Neurospora crassa OR74A: one gene and its partners. The protein of the gene in region 2 binds, or shares a complex with, the protein of the main gene of each other region. Links are inferred from orthologs where the notes say so. Each region holds a gene or a part of one and is shown on either strand. Other genes may lie near its edges.

What was found.
Region 1: NCU05714 (region 2) and NCU01474 share a complex: the UniProt entries of both Saccharomyces cerevisiae proteins name them as parts of the mitochondrial large ribosomal subunit. The link is inferred for Neurospora crassa OR74A from reciprocal best matches to the Saccharomyces cerevisiae genes MRPL10 and YML6.
Region 3: NCU05714 (region 2) and NCU08299 share a complex: the UniProt entries of both Saccharomyces cerevisiae proteins name them as parts of the mitochondrial large ribosomal subunit. The link is inferred for Neurospora crassa OR74A from reciprocal best matches to the Saccharomyces cerevisiae genes MRPL10 and MRPL3.
Region 4: NCU05714 (region 2) and NCU07549 share a complex: the UniProt entries of both Saccharomyces cerevisiae proteins name them as parts of the mitochondrial large ribosomal subunit. The link is inferred for Neurospora crassa OR74A from reciprocal best matches to the Saccharomyces cerevisiae genes MRPL10 and MRPL51.
Region 5: NCU05714 (region 2) and NCU00952 share a complex: the UniProt entries of both Saccharomyces cerevisiae proteins name them as parts of the mitochondrial large ribosomal subunit. The link is inferred for Neurospora crassa OR74A from reciprocal best matches to the Saccharomyces cerevisiae genes MRPL10 and MRPL44.
Region 6: NCU05714 (region 2) and NCU06768 share a complex: the UniProt entries of both Saccharomyces cerevisiae proteins name them as parts of the mitochondrial large ribosomal subunit. The link is inferred for Neurospora crassa OR74A from reciprocal best matches to the Saccharomyces cerevisiae genes MRPL10 and MRPL16.
Region 7: NCU05714 (region 2) and NCU17114 share a complex: the UniProt entries of both Saccharomyces cerevisiae proteins name them as parts of the mitochondrial large ribosomal subunit. The link is inferred for Neurospora crassa OR74A from reciprocal best matches to the Saccharomyces cerevisiae genes MRPL10 and MRPL39.

What each region holds. Positions count from the first base shown.
Region 1 is NC_026505.1:4,618,903-4,622,473, reverse strand, and holds NCU01474 (60S ribosomal protein L4), read left to right. Parts: upstream 1-1,215; 5' UTR 1,216-1,607; coding exon 1,608-1,688; intron 1,689-1,767; coding exon 1,768-2,736; 3' UTR 2,737-3,071; downstream 3,072-3,571. Other genes in the region: NCU01473 (mitochondrial large ribosomal subunit YmL35), read right to left, coding at 1-293, 377-941. UniProt on the Saccharomyces cerevisiae protein: Component of the mitochondrial ribosome (mitoribosome), a dedicated translation machinery responsible for the synthesis of mitochondrial genome-encoded proteins, including at least some of the essential transmembrane subunits of the mitochondrial respiratory chain.
Region 2 is NC_026503.1:604,545-608,065, forward strand, and holds NCU05714 (mitochondrial 54S ribosomal protein YmL10/YmL18), read left to right. Parts: upstream 1-1,193; 5' UTR 1,194-1,318; coding exon 1,319-1,659; intron 1,660-1,784; coding exon 1,785-2,382; 3' UTR 2,383-3,021; downstream 3,022-3,521. UniProt on the Saccharomyces cerevisiae protein: Component of the mitochondrial ribosome (mitoribosome), a dedicated translation machinery responsible for the synthesis of mitochondrial genome-encoded proteins, including at least some of the essential transmembrane subunits of the mitochondrial respiratory chain.
Region 3 is NC_026504.1:2,488,259-2,492,403, forward strand, and holds NCU08299 (mitochondrial 54S ribosomal protein YmL3), read left to right. Parts: upstream 1-1,345; 5' UTR 1,346-1,635; coding exon 1,636-2,955; 3' UTR 2,956-3,734; downstream 3,735-4,145. Other genes in the region: NCU08300 (uncharacterized protein), read right to left, coding at 267-336, 451-633, 742-761, 846-848. UniProt on the Saccharomyces cerevisiae protein: Component of the mitochondrial ribosome (mitoribosome), a dedicated translation machinery responsible for the synthesis of mitochondrial genome-encoded proteins, including at least some of the essential transmembrane subunits of the mitochondrial respiratory chain.
Region 4 is NC_026503.1:4,406,055-4,409,261, reverse strand, and holds NCU07549 (mitochondrial 54S ribosomal protein MRPL51), read left to right. Parts: upstream 1-1,271; 5' UTR 1,272-1,452; coding exon 1,453-1,494; intron 1,495-1,578; coding exon 1,579-1,661; intron 1,662-1,963; coding exon 1,964-2,255; 3' UTR 2,256-2,707; downstream 2,708-3,207. Other genes in the region: NCU07548 (hypothetical protein), read right to left, coding at 85-190, 277-404, 511-772; NCU07550 (triosephosphate isomerase), read right to left, coding at 2,792-2,820, 2,884-3,207. UniProt on the Saccharomyces cerevisiae protein: Component of the mitochondrial ribosome (mitoribosome), a dedicated translation machinery responsible for the synthesis of mitochondrial genome-encoded proteins, including at least some of the essential transmembrane subunits of the mitochondrial respiratory chain.
Region 5 is NC_026501.1:6,595,368-6,598,525, reverse strand, and holds NCU00952 (mitochondrial 54S ribosomal protein YmL44), read right to left. Parts: upstream 1,823-3,158; 5' UTR 1,529-1,822; coding exon 1,348-1,528; intron 1,183-1,347; coding exon 1,067-1,182; 3' UTR 501-1,066; downstream 1-500. Other genes in the region: NCU00951 (inorganic pyrophosphatase), read left to right, coding at 1-179; NCU00953 (hypothetical protein), read left to right, coding at 2,475-2,824, 2,926-3,158. UniProt on the Saccharomyces cerevisiae protein: Component of the mitochondrial ribosome (mitoribosome), a dedicated translation machinery responsible for the synthesis of mitochondrial genome-encoded proteins, including at least some of the essential transmembrane subunits of the mitochondrial respiratory chain.
Region 6 is NC_026502.1:2,003,427-2,006,447, forward strand, and holds NCU06768 (mitochondrial 54S ribosomal protein YmL47), read right to left. Parts: upstream 1,775-3,021; 5' UTR 1,539-1,774; coding exon 1,098-1,538; intron 1,014-1,097; coding exon 872-1,013; intron 803-871; coding exon 636-802; 3' UTR 501-635; downstream 1-500. Other genes in the region: NCU06769 (activator 1 38 kDa subunit), read right to left, coding at 1-87; NCU06767 (replication factor C subunit 1), read left to right, coding at 2,255-2,360, 2,423-2,468, 2,525-2,566, 2,630-3,021. UniProt on the Saccharomyces cerevisiae protein: Component of the mitochondrial ribosome (mitoribosome), a dedicated translation machinery responsible for the synthesis of mitochondrial genome-encoded proteins, including at least some of the essential transmembrane subunits of the mitochondrial respiratory chain.
Region 7 is NC_026506.1:2,292,454-2,295,923, forward strand, and holds NCU17114 (hypothetical protein), read left to right. Parts: upstream 1-1,441; 5' UTR 1,442-1,730; coding exon 1,731-1,743; intron 1,744-1,874; coding exon 1,875-1,991; intron 1,992-2,414; coding exon 2,415-2,464; 3' UTR 2,465-2,970; downstream 2,971-3,470. Other genes in the region: ala (alanine aminotransferase), read right to left, coding at 242-359; NCU03974 (hypothetical protein), read right to left, coding at 3,280-3,470. UniProt on the Saccharomyces cerevisiae protein: Component of the mitochondrial ribosome (mitoribosome), a dedicated translation machinery responsible for the synthesis of mitochondrial genome-encoded proteins, including at least some of the essential transmembrane subunits of the mitochondrial respiratory chain.

The DNA of each region.
Region 1 (3,571 bases), on a different chromosome or scaffold from region 2:
CGTGACGTCGGGAACGTCCGAGTCGATGACGACGACAGTGAGGAGGCGCTCGCCCTTGTCGAAGACTTGCATGCGAAGTGTGGGTGCAACCTCGGTCACGCGCGAGTCGAGGATGGCTCCCGGGGAAACCTGGTAGCCACGGAAGGAAAGCTTGACGTCCATGGTCGGGTCGAAGGCGGGCAGAAGGTCGGGAACGACGTGGAACTGCGAGATACGCTGCGCAATGATTTTGTAGTCCATGGAACGCCAGCGGCGCTCGGCCATGAAACGGTAGACGGGCTTGGTCATGTCACCTGGAGGCAGAGAAACGTGTTCGTTAGACTGAGACTTGCGAAGCGGAGTAAACGTCATAAGAAAAGGAAAGGAAAATACAAACCTCTGCCATCCTCGAAACGCCTCTTCACTTCGGGGTCGTTGATGTCGGCCAGAATCTTGAGCTCCTCAATATACTTCCTCAAGCTCTTGATCCGTGTCTGCTTGGCGGCCTCGCCGCCCTCGAACTCGCTGGCATCCCGCGCCTCGATCAGCTTGATCTTCTCCGTCTCCTTGACAATCTGGGCGATTTTGGCCGCGCGGTCCTGCTGCAGGATCTTGCGCGCATCCTGGAAACACTGGTACGGCAGCTGCTCGAAGGGGAGGTTGCCGGTGGTGGCCAGGGCGGCCCTTCTCCTTCGCGACCCAAGCTCTGGACCTCCGACTACTGTGTCTGCTACTGTCGCCTTAGCCTCGGTTGCCGAAGGAAGGGGTGGTGGTGTTGTGGTGGAGTCGACAGGAGAGGTGGTGGTGGTGGTGGTGGCGCCCTCCTCTTTGCGCATCGGGGTCGAGGAGAAGGGCCTAACGGCGGCAACGGCGACGGACCGGGTCGAACATGTCGCAGCGCCGGGGCCGGTTTGCCGGAGACAGCGGACGAGTGGCCGCGCGACCTGCTGACACGTCGACATGGCGGGTGGGAATGTGTGCAGGCGGGCCGGAGGGGAGAGTATTGGAAGTGCGGGATCGCTCTCAATCGAGAGGAGCTGCACTCAAGGTTTCGTCGACGGGGAGGACGGGGTCAAGGACGGGACAGGGACGGGACGGAGGGTTCGTTGGTCCTTCAATTCGTTCCATGCTGCAGCCCACCTGCCCGGACTCGAACTGCGGCCAAAATTTCGTGGACCCCGGGGCCGGCAGCACAGTGCGCTCATTGGAAGTACTTATAGTGGGGGTTGCAGAGTAGCGGGCGTGCCCCGCGAGAAAGCTCGCCAGAAACGGGTACTCGATGGCTGCAGCGCACTGTACGTGCACGTTGCCCGCACTCCAGATCTTTTTTCTCCAGACTCCGTCCAGTCCCCTCGTCGGCCGAATCGTTGCGACTTGACTGGGAGGACCGGCGCCCGCGACGACCACCGCATATCCCGTCAGAGCCCCCGTCTCGGTCCCGTTCCGTTGTCCCTCCCTCGCCCCGAAGCGCGCTCCACGTTTCCGTCCGCACAGGCCCGTGGTTGCTAGTCTCTCTTTTCCTCCCGCGAACAACTGCCTCGAGCACCACCATATCATACCTGACCTCCACTACATCCGAGTTGCATTAACTTGTAACTCCCGTCACCTTGCCATATCACAACGCCGCCATGGCCGGCAAGGGTCTCAAGAGCCTCAACGAGGCCATGAATGCGCTGAGCATTGCTTCCAAGTCATGCAGGGCACTGCCGGTTTGTCCTCCATATGTCCACCGTCTTGCTACTGACCCGCCTACGACTTTCGCTCACCAGTACAAACCATGTCCACTAGATGCGCCAATCCTCTATTCTTCCCTGCAGACGGTCGATGGCCTCCGTAGCCACCCCTCCTGCCGCCAATATCACAAGATCGGTCTCGGAACCATGGCAACCCAGTATGAGCACCAACACGACTGCCAACCTCGACAACATCGCCCGCGCTGGAAAGGTACTAACCCACGATTCAGTCACCAACGTTCCTGTGACCGTCTATTCCTTCCCCGAACTCGAGCCGCGCTCCCTCGAATCCTACTCAGCCCGTCACCTTCACCTCCCGCTGCGTCGCGATATCCTCCACTTGGCCGTCATCTACGAAGGTGACTCGACACGACGGGGCATGGCGTCTACAAAGACACGCTACGAAGTTCATGGTTCGCACAAGAAGATGAGTCCCCAGAAGGGTACCGGTAACGCCCGTCGTGGTACCCGCCAGTCACCTCTGATGAAAGGTGGTGGAAAGACCTTCGGCCCCAAGCCCCGCGACTTCAGCACGAAGCTTAACAAGAAGGTCTACGATTTGGCCTGGCGCACCGCGCTGTCCTACCGCTACAAGCGCGGCGAGCTCATCGTCACCGAGGACGGCCTCGACCTCCCCCTTCCCAACGATTTCCTCTGGCTTGCCGGCGGCGGTAAGCTCAGCCGTGAGCTTGAGGACGGCTACGTCCGCAAGTGGGTTCACGAGTTCATGACCAGCTTGAACTGGGGCAAGGAGGCTGGCCGGACGACCTTTATCACGGGCGACAAGCGCCCCAACCTCTTCACTGGATTCGAGTTGGCCGGTGCCGAGGGTCGCGCTTTGGAGTTGTGGGATGTCGATGTCAAGGATCTTTTGGAGACGGGCAGGATAGTGATTGAGCGCAGCGCGCTCAAGGAGATGATCGAGGACCACCAAAGCGACCTCGTCACCCGTGTAGCAGTCCAAGGGCTCCGCCAAAAGGGTCCCAATCTGGGTGAGGTGCTCGTCAGGGCGCCGAGATACTAGACAGGGAAGAAGATGGAGAAGAAGCAGCAGCAGCAGAAGTGAATGTGTGTGTGCAACCACCGGCAACACTCTTGTACCATATGAATCGCGCAAGGAGGGCGGACTGAAGAAGACGGTTTGTCCAGCACGATGAGTGTAATATTCATGTTCCTTTGTACGGTGTACCTACACGAGTTTCCCTTGTTATTCGGAAGCAATTGGCTTGCCTTGTTCCCTCTCTGCATTGTGATAATAAGCGAGAACTGTGTAAAAGCCAAGGGGTTAAGTAGAACGGTATAGTAGTCTGTGACTGTGACACAGTTATGCGCAACTAAAATGTCATTTCTTGGAGTGAAGTTGCAGTGTTTCATTCACCACTCACTACTGCTGGCAATGCCTGGGCAGCCTTGCCGGTATGACCCCTTTGCCAACAGGAACTGCAGTGAAGTGAACAACTGAAGATGGAAAGAGGACGAGATGGAAGTTGCAGCCAACAGCCAACAGCCGACTGCCTGAACAGCTTGGCAGTCCCGCCTCAGCCCGCTGCCGGCCCGCCATGGAATTCCTCCCGGAATTTGCACTGGTGCACGGACCAAGGCTCGGGACCTCCCCGCGCCTATTTAACCAAGCCAACCCTTCCCCCAATCTTCAACTTTCCTTCTCCTTTTTTTTTTCCTCCATCCAAGTGCAGGGGTTTTACGCGTATCAGTGAGGATTCGTCCGAGATCGCGTTTTTGCTAGTTGAAAACTACATACCTGACCGCTCTCAGTTGGCTTCGGCTGGCTGGGGAATTTTTGGCAACCCACAATCCTTTCTCGGACTGGAGATTTCTTCATTTTTTTCTTCATCTTTCAA
Region 2 (3,521 bases):
CCCAAGACAGAAAGCAAATATTGAGAGACCACATTTTTGAGGCCCTGAGAGGCTGTCCAATTGACATGAAGAGCAAAAAGCTCGGTCGCCCAGGTAAGTTTGTAGAACGAACGACAATACCCCAACTGCAGACCTACGAAAAAGCCACACATTTTCATCAACGGGAACCACTGTGCCAAAAGATCACAGAGTTCCGTTATGCCAGAGAGATCAGTTAGGGAACCCGACCTTATATAATACCTGTAGGCTACAGCAGAGGGTACTAGAGGTTTGCGGCCTGGGCGGGAAGGGATCTTGTCATCCGATGTTCCCGTCGGTGAAGGGCGTGCCGACCGATTGCCGGTGGCAGGAGCGGTGGCAGGTACCTGGCGCGTGGTTTGGGCTTGGGACTGACATTCCATGCTTGAAATTCAGACAGACTTGAGTGAAAAGCCATTTCGGAGCGGCGCTTCTCTGCTTGACTTGGAAAGTTCCATCACGATCGGTTATGTTTATCCCGCGAAATGACTGCACGCTGTCCCTTGCTCTGTTCTGCAGTAAACGTTATCCGACAGCAAAGAAGGCTTAACAATTACATTCTTTCTATCAGCCATACAAACACCTTCAGTAAATCAAAGTAACATTCAGGCAATTCCAGCGTGTATGTCACTCATGCCATTCTCAACACTCCCGAACCCCACCAGCTCGATTGGCTCATGGCTGACACAGAACCCCCTTCGACACGCCCTACTTCAGGACTTCTGTGTAATTCTAGCGTAGGTCGCAGTTGAGACCCATCTATAATAGGTTTCTAGTATGAGCTGCTCTTGGCTGCCTGTTTTGCGTTGCTCTCAAAGGCAATACTTTAAGCATCCCACAGTTGTACTTGCACAATATTTTCTCAACGCACCTCCAATGGCCTCGGGACACTCAATTTATGATCATTCCGACTGGGTGGAAAAATTCCCTAAACTCGCACCAGATGTTCTTCAGCCTGTTAAGCCGCGGTACAATCACTCTTAGGGACTTTCACCGCACTGAACCTTTGACATGTTCTTGCATATCCCGTGTAAGTGATATCGAACATGGATATTTTGGAGCATCACGGTCCCTTGGCGAAGGACGTCGGATGTGGACCAGCTGCTGACTCAGCCGCCCATTCGCAATTGACCGAGACCAACGAGGGCGCACGGTCCACCCCCGCGACGCAGGTGTCGGAATTTGGCTGGGCGCGGGTCCTGAACTTTTGTTTTCGGGGAAGTGCCGTTGCCGTGAGGAACGGAATCCGGAAGACTGCCCGACCCAGACCCAACCCACTCCCGTGTCCTCCGCCTCCGTCATGCCTCCCAGGTTACCGCTCGCCCAGGCGGCGCGATGCTGCCAGGCCTCCCTCACAGCCCGCCCTTCGGTCCCAGCCTCGTCGCCGACGTCGTCCCTCATTTCGCTCTTTGCTGCCCTCTCCGTCCAGACCAGGAGCGCATCCATCCTCGCCAGCCTGTCCGACAACCGGGGCGCCTACCACAAGCGCATTCGCAAGGGTCGCGGTCCTTCGTCCGGCTATGGCAAGACTGCCGGTCGCGGTACCAAGGGTCAGAAGGCCCACGGTCATGTTAAGCCATGGTTCCAGGGTGGTCAGACGCCCTTGATCGTCTCTCACGGCCGCAAGGGTTTCGTTAACCAGTATGCCGTCCCGACTTCCCTACCTCGCTTGCTATGCGCCATGGCCAAGAACTCTCCAGCATGCTATCCGATAACCTATACCTACCAGATACATGATGGAGACTAACCATTTGTGTCTTTCATAGGTTCGCTGCCGACATGTCCGAGCTTAACCTCGAAAAGCTTCAGGAATGGATCGAAGCCGGCCGTATCGACCCCACGAAGCCCATTACCCCCAAGGAGATCATCAAGTCCGGCATCATTGGCAGCAGCATCAAGGACGGCATCAAGCTTCTCGGCCGCGGCAAGGAGAGCTTCAAGATCCCCGTCACCATCACCGTATCGCGCGCGTCCGCCTCCGCCATTGAGGCCATCGAGGCTGCCGGCGGCAAGATCGTCACCCGATTCTACACCAAGGAATCGCTCAAGCGTCTGGTAGAGGGCAAGTCTCTTCATACCGACAAGCCGCTGCCGGTGGGCAAGGAGCACGTGGAGGAGATCCTGGCGCAGGCGCGATCGCTCAAGAAGAAGTACTACCGCCTGCCGGACCCGACCAGCCGTTGGGATATTGAGTACTACAGAGACCCGGCGCATAGGGGCTACCTCAGCCACCAGCTTGCGCCTGGCGAGTCGCCCAGTTTGTACTTCAAGGTACCGACGGGCGGCGAGAAGGTCAAGGTGGTCAGGGCCGACAAGGTCAAGGCCAGCAAGACCGGGGATGTGGCGTCGGAGAAGCTCTTCTAATGAACACGAACATTGCCTGGGATGGCGGTTTTTCCGAGACTCGTTGTTGCGCTCTTCCTCGTTGTTGTATGATAGGTACTGGGCCCGTTCATGGCTCTGTGCTTTGTGTTGTATTATTATCATCCGCGTATTGTCAGTCCAGCGTCTTGCTCCTCGGATCAGTTCTATTTGGGTCCTTGTACATCATACAGGTCTCACCTACGGGAGTGGATTCCCACATGCGGCCAGCACTCCACTTGCTGACAACGCAGGTGAATCATGAAACTCCCTTGATTGACGTGTTCCTGCTTTTGCGATCCATCGTAGTTCGAAGATGGGCTTTATAAAGTAAATATCACTTGGCTGCGTGTTGACATGGTCCAAACGACGGATCTCGAAGACTTGCTGTCCCGTACCTGGCAGTCGGAAGAACAGCCATTGGCCAGTGACATGTCAATCCCGCAAGCTGACCCCGGTCAAGTCCCGGTCCTGGGCGGTCCCCGGCCATTCCTTCCAGGGCAGCTTCCACGGGGACGGTGAATGGGGGCATTAGAAAATATGGGTCTGATCACGTGCCAGGTCGCTTTTGGTACCTTCTCCATACCAGCTTGTAATTACGTCCGAAAACAGCCGTCAATACCCGACTTCTCTGCAAATTACCAATTAGTGTTAGGGTTAGTTAGGGTTAGTTAGGGTTAGTTAGGGTTAGGGTTAGCTCCGGGGGTGCAGGGGGCCGGTGAGAGGCCCCCGCATGTGAATGTGAATCGTTAATATTGACATATGTCAACCATATGCCGACCATATGTCTTGTAATTACGGTAATTACACGGGTGACTTTCGATACCTTCGGCTTAAAGAAAGTGGAGTATGCACGGACCAGTCTAATGCCCCTAATCACCATGCCCAGCTTCCACAGCGGGAACCGTCCACTGAAGCCACTGTATGCAGCCCTCCCGAACGGGATTGTGTCAGCTTTGGAGTCGGCGCGTGCCCTCCACCCACTCTGCCCGCCGCGGCGTCATCATTGATGCATCTTGACTTTTCTTTCCTCGAGCGGGAGAGACCAAACTTTGTCGTTGTCAACATCACGACCTGCTTCAACTTTTTTCTTCATTTCTGTGTTTCATTTTCTTCTTTTTCTTCTTCTTCTTCTTCTGGCT
Region 3 (4,145 bases), on a different chromosome or scaffold from region 2:
TAAGAATAGAGGTAGTTTCCTCTATAATCCATTACAGAACTGATCCACATCAAAGTTAGCTTTATTCACGACGTAGCCAGGCTCTGGAGCACCAACGCAAGACGGCCAGCGGAGGGTAACCGACGTTGAATGTATTCCGAATATTGCATTACTACCACCAACCGGCCGGCCTCAACCAAGCCAAGATGTCCTGTTATTCCATCAAGCCTTTGGAAGCCATGTACTGTATGACCAAACGGCCGGGGTGGCAGGGCCTATGCCCAAATTTACTTTTTCTCCTGTGTCGTCCCGTTCTCCTTTTGCGCCCGCTCATACTCGATAATCTGTCTGCTCCAGCTAGTGGAGGTAATATCGGTTGCGTCAGCTTAAGAACATCCCCGCGGTCTGCGCTCGCGGAAAACGTTACGCATGTATAAAAATTTGGATGGGGGTCTGTCTGCCAGGACATACTATCTGCTGGGATAAAAGCGACCAGGCTCGGGCATCTTGTGACGGTACTCTTTCTCGGCGCTAAGCTTCCAGACTGCGGCAGTGATGAGGAAGACGACGCCACCGAGAACAGCCGTGTTCTTCTTCCAGTTGGCCGGCTGGGCGTACCAACCACCCGAAGGCGACCAGACGTGTTTGGGGTAGCTGGAGTGAAGGGCGAGGCAACGATTAGGACGGATCCATGACACAACGCAGGCTGGGTTGGACAGAATGCGCGGAGGGTTTGCGCATGTCGAGGGCGATGAAACTCACGGAACTTGGGGACCGCCGCCCTATAGACAGGAAAAATAGAGAGTTAGCAGACACAAAACATAGTAGTGATGATGGCTATTCTAAGCAATCGGGTGGATACGCACCATTGTGATGAAGTTTTGGGATATGTGGTGAGGTAGGTTGGACGTTCAACGAGGAATGATTCTTTCCACCTCGCAGTTAAGCAAGATCGGTTTGTACTGTCAACTTTGCGATGCACTGCGAACGACGGCACAATAGTGGTGATGCTTCAGCGGGAACAATTGGATAGAAGGACGAATGATGAATCCGCCTACAGGCTGACGAGGGGCTAAATCGCATCAACCATCCAGGCCTGAAAGTCACCATGTCACTCGTCCTAACTGGGGCCGAGGGCGCATGCGACAGACGGGCGGCGGGCGGCGGGCGGGCAGCTCCCGCTTGTCCACCACAGTGCACCGTATGCTAAACAGACAGCGCAGATAGTGGATTGGGGTCGAAGATGGATCTTGTGGGGACCCTCACTGGGCCAACAACGAATCATGTCAGCCGGCTTTTATGTCTCGGTCTTGGGGGAGTAACCCCTGCGCTTGAGCACTGATTCACGGCTCTGGGTGGTGGGCTTGTCTAGTGTACGGGTGGTGAGCGTTCAGATTGGAGAACTTTTTTTTTCTACCCGTGTTCGACGGCCGGCCGAGTCTGAACGAGAACCCATCCGATCAACGCGCGACTCCGACCGGGATCCCGAGTAGCTTCCCACCCCGCGACCACCGGCTCACCACCTGCCCGTCCGATTTCCCTCACTCCATCCTTTTCTTGGCAGGGCCTCCAGACGGCGCACACTTACGGAACCTGGGCCCCAGCACGTCAACACCCGGTTGTCGAGCCGACCATCACCCATCAAATATATCGCCCATGAAGAGGATAGCAACGCCCAGCTTGACGAGCCGGCTGCTCGTCGCCGCTCGCTCCGGAGTGTCGCCCGCCACTGCCGCCATCCGATCCCGATCTGCAATCTCGGTGCGATCGCAATCGACAGCTGCCCTCGCTCAGCACGATGCATCCCACGATCTCAACAATGATCGGTTCCCCCCGCTTGAGCCCCTCCCCCCCGCGGCCGAGTCCCTACCGTCGCCCCTCCCCGAACGGGCCTTGACCTCGGCCAAACTGGCCGCCCTCCACGCCCGTTTGAATCTTTCTCCCAAGATCCCCTTACAGACATTGGCAAGGACACTGGTCGACGCCTCGGCCGACGAGAACCCGCAGTTCAACAACGCCAACCTCGCCTTCGTTGGCCAGACCCTCATCAACTACCATATTGCCGAATGGCTCCTCTGCAAATACCCCCGTCTACCCCAGGGAATTCTCTTCAGTGCCATGAAGGCTTATGCCGGACCGAAGCCCTTGCTCCAGATTGCGCGGTCATGGGGTGTTGATACCGCCGCGGTGCCCGGCGGCGAGGTGGATCCCGGTCTTCTGCAGTTCGATGCCCTTAAGCCCGGCGTCGCCATCACAAATTTCGGCTACAAGCGTACAGAGCTCGCCTACCTCGAGAAGTTCAAGTGGCGTCGCGGTATGGCCTCGCGTGTCGTTCTCGACGACGACTTTGGTGATGTCGTGCGCAGCGACCCCAAGGTTGCCGCCGATCTGGAGAAGGCGATGGAAGAGCAGGATCAGGACAAGACTCCCGACGAGGAGGAGGCCGAGATGGTCGCTAATGAGCAGGACCAGGACGTGAGCTACGACCGCTACGGCAACCCCGACACCCGGGCCGCTGCTGAGCGGGCCCACGCCTACTTTGTGCGCGCCGTCGTCGGTGCCATCTACGCCCACTGCGGCCGCGAGGCCGCCAAGGCCTTTGTCAAGGCGCACATCATGTCGCGCACCCTCGACATTGCCAAGCTCTTCGAATTCAAGTACCCCACCCGCGAGCTCGCCGCGCTCTGCGCCCGTGAGGATTTCGAGCCCCCCGTGGCTCGTCTCCTCTCCGAGACGGGTCGCCAGTCGCGCACCCCCGTTTTTGTTGTCGGTATATACAGCGGCAGCGACAAGCTCGGCGAGGGCGCCGCCTCCTCTCTCGACCACGCCCGCTTCAAGGCCGCCATGAACGCCCTGAAGGCTTGGTATCTCTACAGCCCTGGCGAGAACCCTCGGGTACCCAGTGATATGCTGGAGGAGGGTGCCAAGCCCTGGACGCCAGCATACATTGATATGGGTGAGGTTATCTCCCGCTAAATGAGGAGGCTGAAACACGGAGCATGGCGGCGGACAGTACGGCAGGGCAGTAGAGAACTTAGGAAGTGTATGAAACGAAAGGTAAAAAGAGAGTCGCAGATGGCCTGCTTACACTCTCGGTTTTATTGGTTGTGCGGCCCATCAACTCGGGATAGGTTCCCCTTGTGGAAATCGACGCAAGAGGATCGAGAGGGAAACAAAACAACGAGTGGATTTTGTTGGTGTGGTCTAAAAGCTCAGCTTACCTTTCCACTCTTGTCCTGTCCTGTTGAGAGCGGGCAATTTCCGTCCTGCGAAGGAAGGGGATATTAAATGGATGGTCCTCTCCCATCCAGTCACTCCCTTTCCTTCCATTGTTTCTTGCTCTTTTTGCCAAAGACGAGATGTTGTATACAGATTTGCGCGCAACGGACATACATGTACACACACGCACACCCCCGCCACATATACCAATACAAAGGGGGGTTGGGACGGAACGGGGAATGAAGAGGGTCTGGATGGTGGCTGCTTGGCTCTGCTTTCGACAAAGAGAGACACAACCCTCGTCGGGGTGGCATCTGTGTCCTTCTTTCTCAGTGTATAATACCAAAAAAGTAGCCGAGGCCAGGGAGAAGGAAGATCATCGTCTGTATGTGTAGCATTAAGAAGTCAAATTTTTTACGAGGCATCAACGAAGTACATGACATGATAAATCCTTCCTCTACGTATTGACTGCTCTGGCATGAGGAGAAGGCTGTGTAAGAGAGAATATGGTACTACGCAATTTACACGCATTGTACAATTCCAGGATGTGTAAGCCCTTGTTTTGTATAACAAGCATCGTAAAGGAAGAAATGGGAATACGCAACCGGCAAGAGTAAAAGACCGGACGACGAGATCGAGCCTGGAAGTTCCTCCCAAGCTTGCGCGCCTTCCATTCATCCAAACTAGAGGTTGTTTAGTATCTATTTTGCCTTGTGCTTTCTTCACATTGCTCTTGTTTATCTTATACGTGAGAGGAAGATGAAGTTGGTGAGAGGGGAGATGAAATGTGGACTGTTCTCTCTGTAGTTGCGTCCTCACTTTCTCACCCCCTCCTGGTACTTTGTCACGACGTTTCCAAAAACACGTTCATCAGAACTTGCGACCTGATGCAAAGGGATCAATGAAGGAGACTTTGACAACTATAGAATTGGCATATTGTTAAGGTA
Region 4 (3,207 bases), about 3.8 Mb from region 2:
ACAGCGGGCGTTTCCTTGTCTGTGTGTGCTGGTTGAATGTCAAGAAGAGGGGGGGGGGGGGGGTCAAGGGGGGCTGGTCATTACCTCTCATGTCCTTTTCGCGTTCGAAAACGACAAAAGCATAGCCACGATGGGGCTTTTTCTTCTTGTTTGGGTTCTCATCGGCGTGGGTATCTCTGATGATACGGATCTGTTTTTTGGTGTCAGTTCTTGTCAATTAACACACACATAGCTGTGAAATCATGATATAGGAGGAGGGGGGGTTTGCAAACTCACACGCTCGATAGGACCGTAGCGGCTAAACTCGCGCTCGAGATCCTGTTCATCAGCACGGTAGTCAAGACGCGCTACTATCAACGTCTTGAAAGCATCTCCTCTGATGTTGGGATCGTCATTAGGGTTGTCTACAGATAAACGCCATCGGTTAGCAAGCCGCACGACAGCAAGATCATGATCAAGTAAAGGAGTAGCGAGCACAACTGCGCGTAACGTTGGGGGTTTGCCGCGTACAATTCTTGGGACCCTCGGTCAACAGCTTCTCCAAAGCTTCCTTCTTCTCGCGCTTCTTGCGGTCGCGCGCCTCCAGCCAGCTCTCGGTGGGATGGTACTCGTATTCTTGCTCGTAGGCCTGCATGGCAGGAAGGAAGTCGGCAACGGGGGTGATGAAGGCCGACTTGCGCTCTTCGGGAGCAACATCGCAGGGCGGCACCCAGCGCAGAGGTGGCCGGGGCGCAAAGAGTGCGAGGAGGTTAGGCGGGAGCCGGTCTGTCATTGTCGCTTCACGTTGTCGCTGTTGTAGCTGGTCAAGTGGTGTTTTTTTGTTGATCTTATCTGTCGTCGAATTATGAAATCGATATGTCGGAAACCAGGAAATGTAGGTCGTCTGGCGTTTGATCCACTGTTCGGAAAGCCGGGCGAGAACAGTTCAATAAGGCTGAACGCTGTTACTGTTTGCCAATTCTTGTGATGGCGATAATGTGGTGTTGTCGGTTTGCGAGAAAGGTCAAACCCGCATTTTCGCGACTTTGCTTGGACAGCTGAAGACGAGAGACAGAGGGTGGGAGGCGGGAGCAGCAAAGGGCCCTGTCTGGTGTTGTGTCGTCCACTGCCTGGCAGCCTCGCAGCGACTGGAGCTCTTGCTGGGCAGCTTTCTCGCGCGCTCGACCACCGAACGACTGAGTGCGAAAGAGGGACCGTGCACCCTTAGGTCGTCTTCGTTATCACTACGCACACACCCAAGGAGGAGTGCAATCGCGTGAAATTGATTCTGCCAACCGCTTTTGCAGTTGGGCGGGTCCCCCACCCCCAGTGCCGTGCCGGCGCGCGACGGGGCGGGAGTCTGGCAGAAGTTCAAGTCGCACCCGCCCTCCGGATCATGAACCCTGGTGGACTCGGACTTGTTGCAAGGCGAGGACGGCGGCGAAGAAGAAGAAGAAGAAGAGCATCACAACAATGACGGTAAAAGCATTGACGCAGATCTCCTCTGCCGGCCGTGTAAGTTAGACCGCAGCCTGAGCAACTAAAAACTTTAATTTTCAGAAAAAAAAGAATGCTAATCGTTGATTGTTTTGTATCTAGAATGGCGTCGGCGCATTCGTCTTGCAGTGCAAGAAGTTGGACATCCACTACAGTGACTGGGCCGGCAGCTCCCGGGGCATGAAGTACGTTTAGGATTCTTCGAATATGGACATCGCAACCTCATTCCCGATCGAACATCTTTCACATATACCAATACCTCTACACGTCCAACCAAACCGACATCCTCCCAAGATCTCGAGACCATCCCGCCGTCCCCGACCATCCATCCATCCATCCATCCACCACTACATACCCTTTTTCTCGTCCCTCCTCGTCCCTCCTCGTCCCTCCTCGTCCCTCCTCGTCCCTCCTTATCCCTCCAGTCTCCCTTCGCGACCTCAGCAGACAGACTCTTTCACTAACACTTACTTCTTCCTCCATCTAGCGGCTTCATCAAATCCCTCCTCCCCAAATTCGCCGCCGCCAACCCGCAAATCGAGTTCGTCGTCTCTCCCCGGCCCGCCAAGCACCCGATCCTCATGGGCCACTACATCAACGGGCGCACCAAGGCCATTTGCGTGCGCAACATGGAGCCGCTCGAGATCCTCAAGAAGGCCGAGCTCCTCCGCGACGCGAGCGGCGAGAAGCCCCAGAAGTTCAAGAAGCCCGTCACCAGCACGAACCCCAGTGTCAGAGGTGTCTGGTCGCCTTACCATGGGCAGGGTATGGCTGTATAAAGCGGAAAAAGGGGGAGGAGCAGGTGCTGGTGCTGGTGCTGGAATGGACTGGATCGGTGCTGGGCTGGATTTGGTGCTCGGCCGGTGTTGGCTCGGTTCAGTACCAGGTGGATTGTATATACCATGTTGAATGTATGAATATGAATTGAGGACATGAAAAGGGTTTCTGGATGTATCAAGGGTTTCGGTTTGGCTATATGGTTGTGATCAAGTCCTTCCAGAGCTATCGAGTTCCCATGATGAGTTGCCCCAGTTCCAAAGAATCTGACATTATCTTCTGGTGCTTGGTGGTTGACTGTTGATATTGGAACTTGGGATGAACATCTAAGAGCGAATGGAGGAGCCGCGGAGTTGCGGTATCTGGTGTCACAGAAGTCATGAACGGGCTACATGAAGCGAAACTACGTTCTTCAATCCCAAATCGAACAAAATCAGGACATTTAACTATTTTATATTTTCGCCGTGTCCTCAACACCATTTCCCAGCCTATATGATTGCGGCTGTAGCAAAGCTATAACTTTTTATGGGCAAGTAATTTACAGGTTGGCGTTGATGATGTCCACGACTGCATCATATCATGTTAGCCATCTTTCTTCCTCTCGTTGCAACAATGGCAGGTAGTACTTACACTCGGGCTTCAAGCTGGCACCGCCAACAAGGAAACCGTCAATGTCCTGCTCCTTGGCAAGGTCCTTGCAGTTCTTGGCGTTGACAGAGCCACCGTAGAGGATGCGGGTCTCCTCAGCAACCTTGTCGCTGACGTTCTGCTTGAGCCAGCTGCGGATGGCGGCGTGCACCTCCTGGGCCTGCTCCTTGGTGGCGACGAGGCCGGTGCCAATGGCCCAGATGGGCTCGTACGCGATAACGACGTTCTTCCAGTCGTTGATCTCCTTGGCGAGAGCGGCGAGCTGGTTCTCGACGAACTTGATGGTCTCGCCGGCCTGGCGCGTGT
Region 5 (3,158 bases), on a different chromosome or scaffold from region 2:
TCATCACCGGCAAGACTGCCCCTGGCGGTGTCTCCACCACCAACGTCACTGTCCAGCACTCCAGCAGCCGTGTTGCCCCTGACCAGCTTCCTCCCCTCCCTCCCAACGAGAATCTCCCCCCTGCCCCTATCGATAGCTCCATCGACAAGTGGTTCTTCATCAGCGGTGCTTCCGCTTAGAGAGTTCGTTTGTTGAGGTAGAATAAAGATAATTTATTGGCACTTTGTTGTATTGGTCAATTCGTCGTGAACAATCCTCCATGGTGTTACCCTCATGCGTTGTTTTGCGTAGAGTCGAACGTCTTTGCAACAAGGTATGCGCGGTCAGAGATTGGCCATTTCTGAGGCTGTAGTCCATGCCGTGGGATAGGGACTTGTCGAGGAGATGCTCGACATTCTTGCGCCATGAGTTTCGCCGTTGAAATATACCGATACCGTTGATGAATTCCCCATCGAAGGAAACACGGTCGCCAAAACAAAAACAAAAAAAAAAAAAAAGGCCGATCTCAACTTTGACTTTGTCAAAATGGGCGTACCGTGATGTGTGTGAATCAATCCATGGCAGAGGTGCTATATACGCATGTCTATAACAACAGGTACCCAAACTGCCTTGCCAACTGAAAATCGCCGGCCCCTTAACGCCTCCCAATGCTGTTGGTGTACACTTACAACCTCTTGCCCAATACAAATACAGGTTCATATCTTTTGTTGTTGTTTTCTTCTTTTTGGCTGGTAAGGCGATCTTACAGATCTCTCAGAGAGGTCGTCAGGTATCCGGCTCCAAGCTCGCTGGCTTTACCCAGGTGATTCGAATGTGCCTTTAGATATCCAGACTTTTCCTCTTCTCCTCCCGGTCAATCGTCATTTTGGTACCACGGACCAAAGCCAAGTAGTCTGGGTATCAAGACAAGATGGGCTTTCGTCGCTCTTCCCGTGGCTTTTCCCTCCTTTTTCCTAGTCTCAGTCTCCCTCGTTTTACCCGCAAAGTTCGATTGGTGGATCAAAACACAACAAGGGCGTCTCGAGATTGCTGGGTTTTGAAGAAGAAAAGAAAGACAGAGATTCGGTTAACCGTCGTTCAAGTCGGCCTGCTTCTGAAGGATACGAGAGTGGCGATCCACCTCCTCGACAATGCTTTTGATGCCCATGTTCTCAACGTCGAGGTTCATTTCCTTGCCGTCCTCTGTTTTTTTTCAAATACGTTAGACTACGGCTTGATTCACAGCTAACGACTCTTGATTGCCTTCCAGCCGGAATGATCCAAATTGCAACAACCAACTGCAACGGCGGTCCGTCGATGTGTGACAGAGTTGCAAGTGACAAGAAGAGAGACATTGGGAAAACGTACTGAACTTGACGTAGAGCAAAGGAGTCTCGGTGGAATTCCGCGGCAGAAGCTGGGTGGTGATGTTCATGCCATTGGAGCGGGCGTTGGGAGGGAGGAAGGAGAGGAAGAGCCGGGCGGCCTTGGCCTTGGCCGAGAAAGGGTTGAAGCGCGTTGATACGTCGGTGATGAAGCGGGTGAGCATGTTGGGCGAGGTCTCTCGGGTGGTGGTGGTGGTGACCTGAGGTCGTGTTGGGGTTGGGTTCGGGGAGGAAGAAGAAGAAGAAGAAGAAGCAGGAGGAACGCGGAGGCCTGACTGCGACTTTGCGAATTTGCGACGACGGGACTGCACTGCACACCGGACGGGGACGGATACGGAGACGCGGGAGACGGGAGACGGGTCTCTGTGGAGGATCGGACGGGGTACGTAGCTTGTGTGTCGCGATTTGGACTTCGATTCGGTCTTCGTGCCTGGCGCCGGCCGGCAGCGTGGAGGAGGGATGCGATCAAAAATTACTGGAGGTACGTACCGATTGCGCCGGGGACCGGGAGGGGTGTTTTTTGTAAAACGGAGAATGCGGGACGGCGCGTGCTACGTGTGAGAGATGGGCTGTGATTGGTTGGGAGCCAACTGGGATCAAACGGTGTCAGGCTCGATTTTGCATTCATATTTACACTACATCAGATCAATTGACATAATACATCTTTTTAATCTTCTGAACGGGAAGAGAATCACTTCTGGCCTTCTATTACATTGTGTTAGTCTGTAGCCCTGAGTGTGTAAGTTTGTGCTTTGTTCCTTCAGCGCAACAGTACGTACTCCCATTTGCCCCAGCGAGTTGTAACTTGAACTCCGTTACCGAATTCCGCATGTGATCCGTTTTCATTGACCTTGAGGATGACGTTGCAAGAGCCACGCCCACCGAGAACTTCCATTGAACATCGCTACAGTGCTCTCCTTTCAGGCCAGGTTTCCACTAATTATCAACAACAGCACAGCTGCTGATCAACACCAGGTACCTAAGTGGGATCCGACTACGATCCATGGAAACCATTTGTTACACATCCACCTTTTTCCAACACATATCTATCTACCTTTACCGAGTCAACTCCCTACGAATGCAATACCGACATAATACAACAAGTCACTAATGTCAACATTCGAAACGCTTCAAGAGCGGCTCACGGCCCTCCAAGAGACGACCGGCCAGCTTAAGGACCTCATCGAGCGTCTCGCCACGCTCAAATTCGAGCCCGGTTCCGTTCCTTTGAGCAACAGCATCAGCAGTCTCGCGAACACTGGCGCCGATGGAACCACCAACAGTGAGGCCGCTGACTTGAGCGCCGAAATCAGCCAGGTCTTGCGCGAGGAGGAGGAGGATTTGGAGTTGCTGCAGGAGGAGATTATCGACTTGCGCTCCGGCCGCCCAGGGAGTGAGGCGGAACATCAAAAGACGAGGTTAAAGGAGGGCGCGCAACGCTTGGCTGCCGAGCTTAAGGGGTGAGTTTTGTTTCTCATCTTTTCAGCCTGGATGGTGATGACGATGATGAAGATGAAGATAAACAACGTACCTAACAAAATTGCGTCTCAAAAAAATACAGCTGTCGAACCTCCTTCCGCAAAGCCCAACTCGCGGCGCGCCGCAACCTTGAAACCGCCCAGCGCCTCGAGCGCCAGCTCCTCTTAGCCTCCTACGTTGCCGTCGCCGCCAACCTCGCCGCATCAGACCGCGGATCAGGCGCCTCAACACCCGTATCTACTGCTGCTGCCCCCAGCGGTGGTGCTCAACCAACCTCGTCGACGACGTCTCCACCCCCTCTCTCAACCCCCGCCG
Region 6 (3,021 bases), on a different chromosome or scaffold from region 2:
AAGTGACCGTAACCTCTCCGACAATTCGGTATGATAGGTGAGGGCATCGAGAGACCTCGGCCTGTGCTTGTCAACAATAAGCGCCATCGTGGTGTGGTGATATTGTGGAGAGGAAAATGGGTTGACAACGGAAGGGGAAAGAAATGCTGGATTGGAGGTGCATGGGAGACGCGTCGAGTTGACGCGCCGTCCAGAAAATCAATTAACAGATGACGGGGGATGGCCGCACGGACCATATCACCCGCTTATACAGGCCCTGGGGTAGACAGTTGCCCACTTTCGCCATCAGTATTCTAGGCAGCTATCTTGAATCTCTTTGAGTTTTGCAACGTCCGATGCTGGATATTGGATCTTCCATGAACCGACATCTAGTATAGGGCCCATTTCATGGCATGGTTGAAAGGGTATATCTAGGAAGCCAGCATTGCTTGTTGACTCGATGTGGTGCTCTGGCCCATCCAGGTAAACTGGTAGTAGCTTACGGACACATTCTCAGAGCATTGAAATCAAAGTGGTGATGCTTGTTACGTCGTCATAATAATCATGAAATGGCCATGGCAACACTCTTTTGCACATTGGCCCTTCTGTTGTTCTACATAGTGTTACAATTAGAATAGGCTCAGGGTTCTCCACCTCTACGAAGGAGGAGCAGCAGTGCTTGATGTGCTCGCAGCACTCTGGGTAATCTCTGGCATCAACAACTTCTTCCTTGGGTTCTTGAGGTCCTCCACCGTGAGGCCATCCTCCAACTTGGTGATGCCAACCACTGGTGGGTCACCCTTCTTCACAAACTCGTACAGACCTATGACTTGTCAGTTTTCTACTCTTCTCAACCTCGCAAAGATTTTGGGCCAGCATGTGCTGTTATTACCTGGAAGCTTGTGTCCGGCCAAACGGAAGGCATCACGGATGACCTGTTCGTGCAATTGCCCCCTGATCTCGAAGATAATCTGGTTGACGGCAACTCTGGTCGCCCAGTGGTCGAACGAACCCTTACCCTTACCCATACGCATCTACACCGGAAATGCATGTGAGCCTCATGTCCGCTAACAGTCGGCATCCGGCCTTCCCGGGCTGTGGGTTGTTCAGCTGCTCACCTCGTTACCGCTGACGTACACACCGACGTTACAAGCAACGCGCTTGTACAGGCGGTACTTCTGACCACGCAACCTCTGCTTGATGGTGTCCTCGGCGAGCTTGAGCTGTTGGGCGCTAATTCTGCGGTGGTGATCGCGCATGCGCAGGCCGTAATCTCCCCAAACCACTGTTGTTCCTTTGGTCGAACCACCCGTCGGCACTCTGGGCCTTCCCTTCATCATCTTCTTCTTTCTGTTGAGGTTGGGCTCGAGCCACGAACCAGCCTGGATGGCGGTCGCAGAGAATAGGCGGACATGGGAGGCGACGGAAACGGGGGTCGGCGCAATGGGGCGACGGACGGCAGAGGTTGCGAGCGACGCGGCACGGAAGGGAGTCGCCGACGAGGATATCCTAAGGCCCTGGAAGGCGCTGAGGAGCGCCGAGGAAGCGTTGTGCTTCATTGTGTTGAAGGTTTGGGTGTGGACCGGACCGGGGAGGGGACGAGTGGTGGACGGAGGACGGAGGGAGGGTCCAATTGGATGCCGGTCGCCGACGACGATTGATACGGATTCCCCGAAGCAGCGCGCGCACAGAGACGGGGACCGGGCAGAGCGACTACCTGCAATGGAAGGTGCTGCGGGCGCGGACGGGGCACGGACGGCACTTCCAAAAATTGTGACCCACCAAAAAGTGTCGGGTGCCGGCCGCGACATGGAATCTGCCGGACACAGCAGACAAGCGGGACCTGGGACTCATTCATTGACTCCTCACAAGAAATACAGCTGCGTGGGCGTAGCTCAAGGCAGCAAGTTGGCGAATTCTTGTAGGACAAGGCCCCACCAGTCGCGACAGGGGAGCAGAGCCCGGACACAGACTCGCGTCATCCACTTCACCTTCGCGTCTCACTCATCATTCAATTGTTACTTCCGTCTTTACAAGGGACAAGAGTCGACCCGTTAGCTCTTTACCCTTCTAGGCCTTTTGTTCAACAACACTTGTTAGGCAGAAGGACAGCTGCCTGGACAACTCAGACACCAAGAACAAAAGTCCCTACTTCCCAACTCCGCCACTATAAGAAGATGCTTGCTGGTGTCATCTGATTGTTACATCTTCCCAACCTTTTGACACATTCAATTTATCATTTTGTATCCAGTGATTTCTTCTCACATACTCCATCATGCCTGCCGACATTCGCTCGTTTTTTGGTCCAAAAGGTGGCGCGCCGCCTGCTAAGCCGGCAACACCAGCACCCAAGAAGGAAGAGGAGAAGAAGACCCGGGGTAGTAAGCTTGAACCATGATCGCCATCACAAGCTTATCACGTTATATTAACAATCTTGTCGCAGGGCCAAGAAAGGTTGTTGAGGACAGCGAAGATGACGAGGTTGTTGAGTAAGCTTAGTGAAAAGCATCTCTTCTCAGAACTAGCATCTAACCAGCATGTGTAGAGTCAAAAAGCCAACCAAGGCTGCGCCAAAGAAGAAAGTAGCGTAAGTGTTTATGAAACACCTCTCAGTTCCATGTCATCCTATTCCTGCTGACAGACTATCTAGGGAACCCGTAAAAGGAGTTGAAACCGATGCTGCCAAGTACTTTGCAACCTCAAAAACAAAAACTGCTGCTGCGTCCCAGTCAACACCGAAAAAGACACCCGCAAAACCCGAGCCAGAAGAACCAAAAGTAGCGCTTCGAACAAGCCCGCGGAAGAAAGCCACCCCCGCTGCCAAAGCACCAGAGCCTCCCAAGACTACTACAAAGAAGACCTCGACTACGAAGAAACCCACGACGGCCTACAAGAGTTACGACAAGGATGACGATGGCGATGCCTACATGGATGATGAGCACGATGCTGGAGAGGACATATTTGCGGCGGAATTCAAGGGTGGCAGCAAGAGGAAAAAGGACGACGACTATGCCGAGGAGGACAGTGACGAGGAGCTCCTCC
Region 7 (3,470 bases), on a different chromosome or scaffold from region 2:
CTGACATTGGGGAATGGGAAAGTGAAGGCAGATGGACAGCTGCGGTTTAAGCAGGTGCCAAGACCGTTGCAACGGAGAGAGTTGCAAACGCGGGGAAAGAAAGTTGGGGAAGTTCGGGACAAGAGGAAGCAACGGTACGTTCGGGAAGGTGAAAGCGACGCAATAAAGCACATCGATCCGCGTCGGTCGGACGAGAAACTCGCGCCGCTTTGGCGAATGGCAAGGGTTTGGTGATCCTTACCTCCGCATGTCGCCGGACCCCACGCCGACTGCTGAACAGGGATTGAATAATTTCTCACGGCCGCGCTCGGCAGCCGGTGACGGGCGGTCTTGAGGGCGTTTGACAGTCCGGCAGCCATCGATGCGATTGTCGATCTCTTTCTGATGAAGTGTACGTATTGATGGATGAGGGGAGGAGGGTCTCGATACTGCCGGGTGGGGGGGGACAGGACTCCCGGAGATGCCGTCAAAGGTGAACGGGAGAAGAACTTGTCGTTGATGGTGCGCTGACTCGCTCCGAGAGTACCGAGAGGACGGGATGTGATTTAGGGCTGAGTCCAGTTTATGTCAGTTGGGTTGGGTTTTCAAACCGCATTCGACACAGCAGACGCAAAGACACTATGAATGGGGGGGGGGGGGGGGGGGGGGAAAGATAGCACGCAGAAGAACACACGAACTTTTTTTTTTTTTTCTTTTTTTCATCAAATGTAGCAACCCAAACTGAACTAATGAGCTCCGAAACAGGAGCACGGAAAGCGGTGTGGTCTAGAACTTTTTGTTACAAAAGAGTCTTCGTTCCGGTCCGGTTTTGCTCCCGCGATCCATTTCTGGCGGGGTCGCAGAGGTCCGAATCGAGACTACAGTCTTGGTACAGTATGGAGAGTCAATCAAACAAATGCCATATTCTGATTCGGACTGCTATCCGCCAGACGAGGCGGTATCGCTGAGCTGTTTCGTAGCCGCCAAGATAAGCTGCTGCTGTGCTGTGCTGCCTGACAAGCCAACGTTAAATCCGGGCCGTTGTATTCTACCTCTAGAGGTAGCTGCGGCATGTGTAGGACCAGTGGACTATATCTAGTATCCAGGAACTATCCTTTTCGTCGACTTACACAGTTCCCTTCCAGCGCCTTGTTGGCGGGACGGGCATGATTACAGCCACAGTGCTGTCAACGGTCACCATGTTGAAATTACGGTACACAAATATCAAATTTATGTTCTTGAATACATCTCTCTCAGTGTACAAGCCCAGCAAAGGTGTTGATGTTGTCAATAAATTTGTGTGAGATGTTCTGATAGATATCACGCCCGTTGTGTTTTGGCCAAGGCCTCTGGGGTTCCTCGGTGAGCTCTCAGCTCACTACACTCAGCTTGTTCCTCACCTTGCCTTCACCGATCCTACAAGTACACTAAACCGCGGGCAGCCACCTGCCAAGCCCAGCTAGGAGCGCACACGACCCACCCACAGCCCCACCACGGCCCACGCACCCCCGGCGGGCCGGCAGGCAAAATCTACAATCGCAATCGCAAGAAGCGCGGACGACCCGACGTCGATTGGAGAGCTTCCGGCGCAAAGACCGTGCTCCGTGAATCCGCCCGCCCTCCGCCCGCAGTTTGCGAACCTCTCCGTCCGGACGAGCCCCAGCCCGTCGCCCGTCGCCGTACCGCACTTGATCCAGTCCAGTCCAGGCGCGCCGTTGCACACCACAACAGCGCAACAAAAGTCGTTCAACATGGCGAAGAAGGGTAATCGACTCCATCCTCACCCGTGTGTCTGCAATTACTGCTTTGTTTTCCTAAAGGGAAAAGCGATGCAATGGGGAAACCGGAAACCGAAAACAGAAGACGATAGTTGCTGATAGGTAAACAACAAACAGCCAAGTCCCGCATCATTAACGTGCGCCTGATCTCAATGGCCATGACGGGTTATTTCTACACCTTCACCCGTCCCCGTACCTCGCTGCCTATGAGCATGCTGAAATACGATCCGATCGGTATGCGCATATCCTCTCCCCTCATTCCTATCTACCTCTTTCGCTTCCAACCACCTACATGATTGATTCGGCGGACACGACGACACGGGCATGATATGGAACTCTTTTTGGTTGCGGGCTTTCTCGATTTGCACGATTCGAAACACCCCAATACGCTTCGTCGAACGGACCTTGGGAAGCTCGCTTGGGACTGGGACTAGGACTGGGATCAGGCTGGGACGCAACAGTTCAAAGACTCGGACGATGGCATAACGTACGGACCTTCGAGAAAAGAAAAAAAAAAAAGCAACCAGCCAACCAACCGGCCAACAGAGAAGAGAGGAGGGGACGGAAGAAACACTTGCCTACGACAGACAATTTTTCCCAATCACGGATCTCGAAGAGGAAGGAATACCTACTAACCCTTTCGCCTCTCCACCATAGTTCGCCGCAAGGTCCTCTTCCTCGAACAGAAACGCAAGGGCAGGTCATAGATCGTTACTCGCCCCCGGGCCTAACGACCGTCGAACGACCGAGAGCCAGAGCGAGAACGCGGAGCCTGCGATACGGAATCAAAGAGCGTAGCGGCGAAGCAGCGACAAGTAAAAAGCTACAGCACCCCCTCCACGGATTACCACGTCACACCAAGTTACGATTTCGACCGGGTTGTGTTTCAAGCAGATCACCAGCAGACAATGGCCAGTGCTGGCGAGTGAGTTGGAGCTGGAGCTGGAGAGGGGGGTGGACCGGACCGGAACTGGACTGGATATATGGAGAAGAGAGGCGCAAGAATAAGATGGGGTCCCTCGTTCCATCCAGTCTCTGGTCGTGTATTATTACTGTACCACCGATCCATCAGTATATAACATCACCCTGTGAGTTATGGATTGGCACCATGGAGCGTTTGTTGCTTCTTCGCTCTACCGATGGGCCAGGTTGATTAGAGAATGTACAAGTCAAGAGATAAGCACAACGCCCCTCGGCCGTCGGCAATGCTGGGCGTGACCCAGGTTCACTGCCAAGTGGCTCTCCCTTCTCTTGTGTTGTGTGGTAAGGATAACTCTTCTATCGCGATCAGACAGTCTGTCATGACACCTCGACATCTTTGACTTTTCTTGCCATCGTACATCGCTTTATCTCATCTTTCTATATTTTCGTGGAAATCAAACTTTTCATTAGTCACAAGACCCGTCTCCCAACATTTTACAGGCGTTCTTTCACACTCTTCTCGTCGTATACATATTGAATCTCAATTCATTCGAAACACAGTCTCCAATCCACACAAATACGCCATGCATCGACATATGGATCATAACTTATTCCCAGGCGGAGGCAGAGGCAAGTCATCTCCGTCTTCTTTGTTTGCATTCTGCGAGAGGGTCATGGAGTCTTGGGTCTCATCATTGGCGCCCCCGTATCGCGAAAGTGGCTGGGACTGAGACCGTGATTGGGACTCGCCGTTCGTTTGACTGACCGAGTTGGTGTTTTCCGCAGGATCAA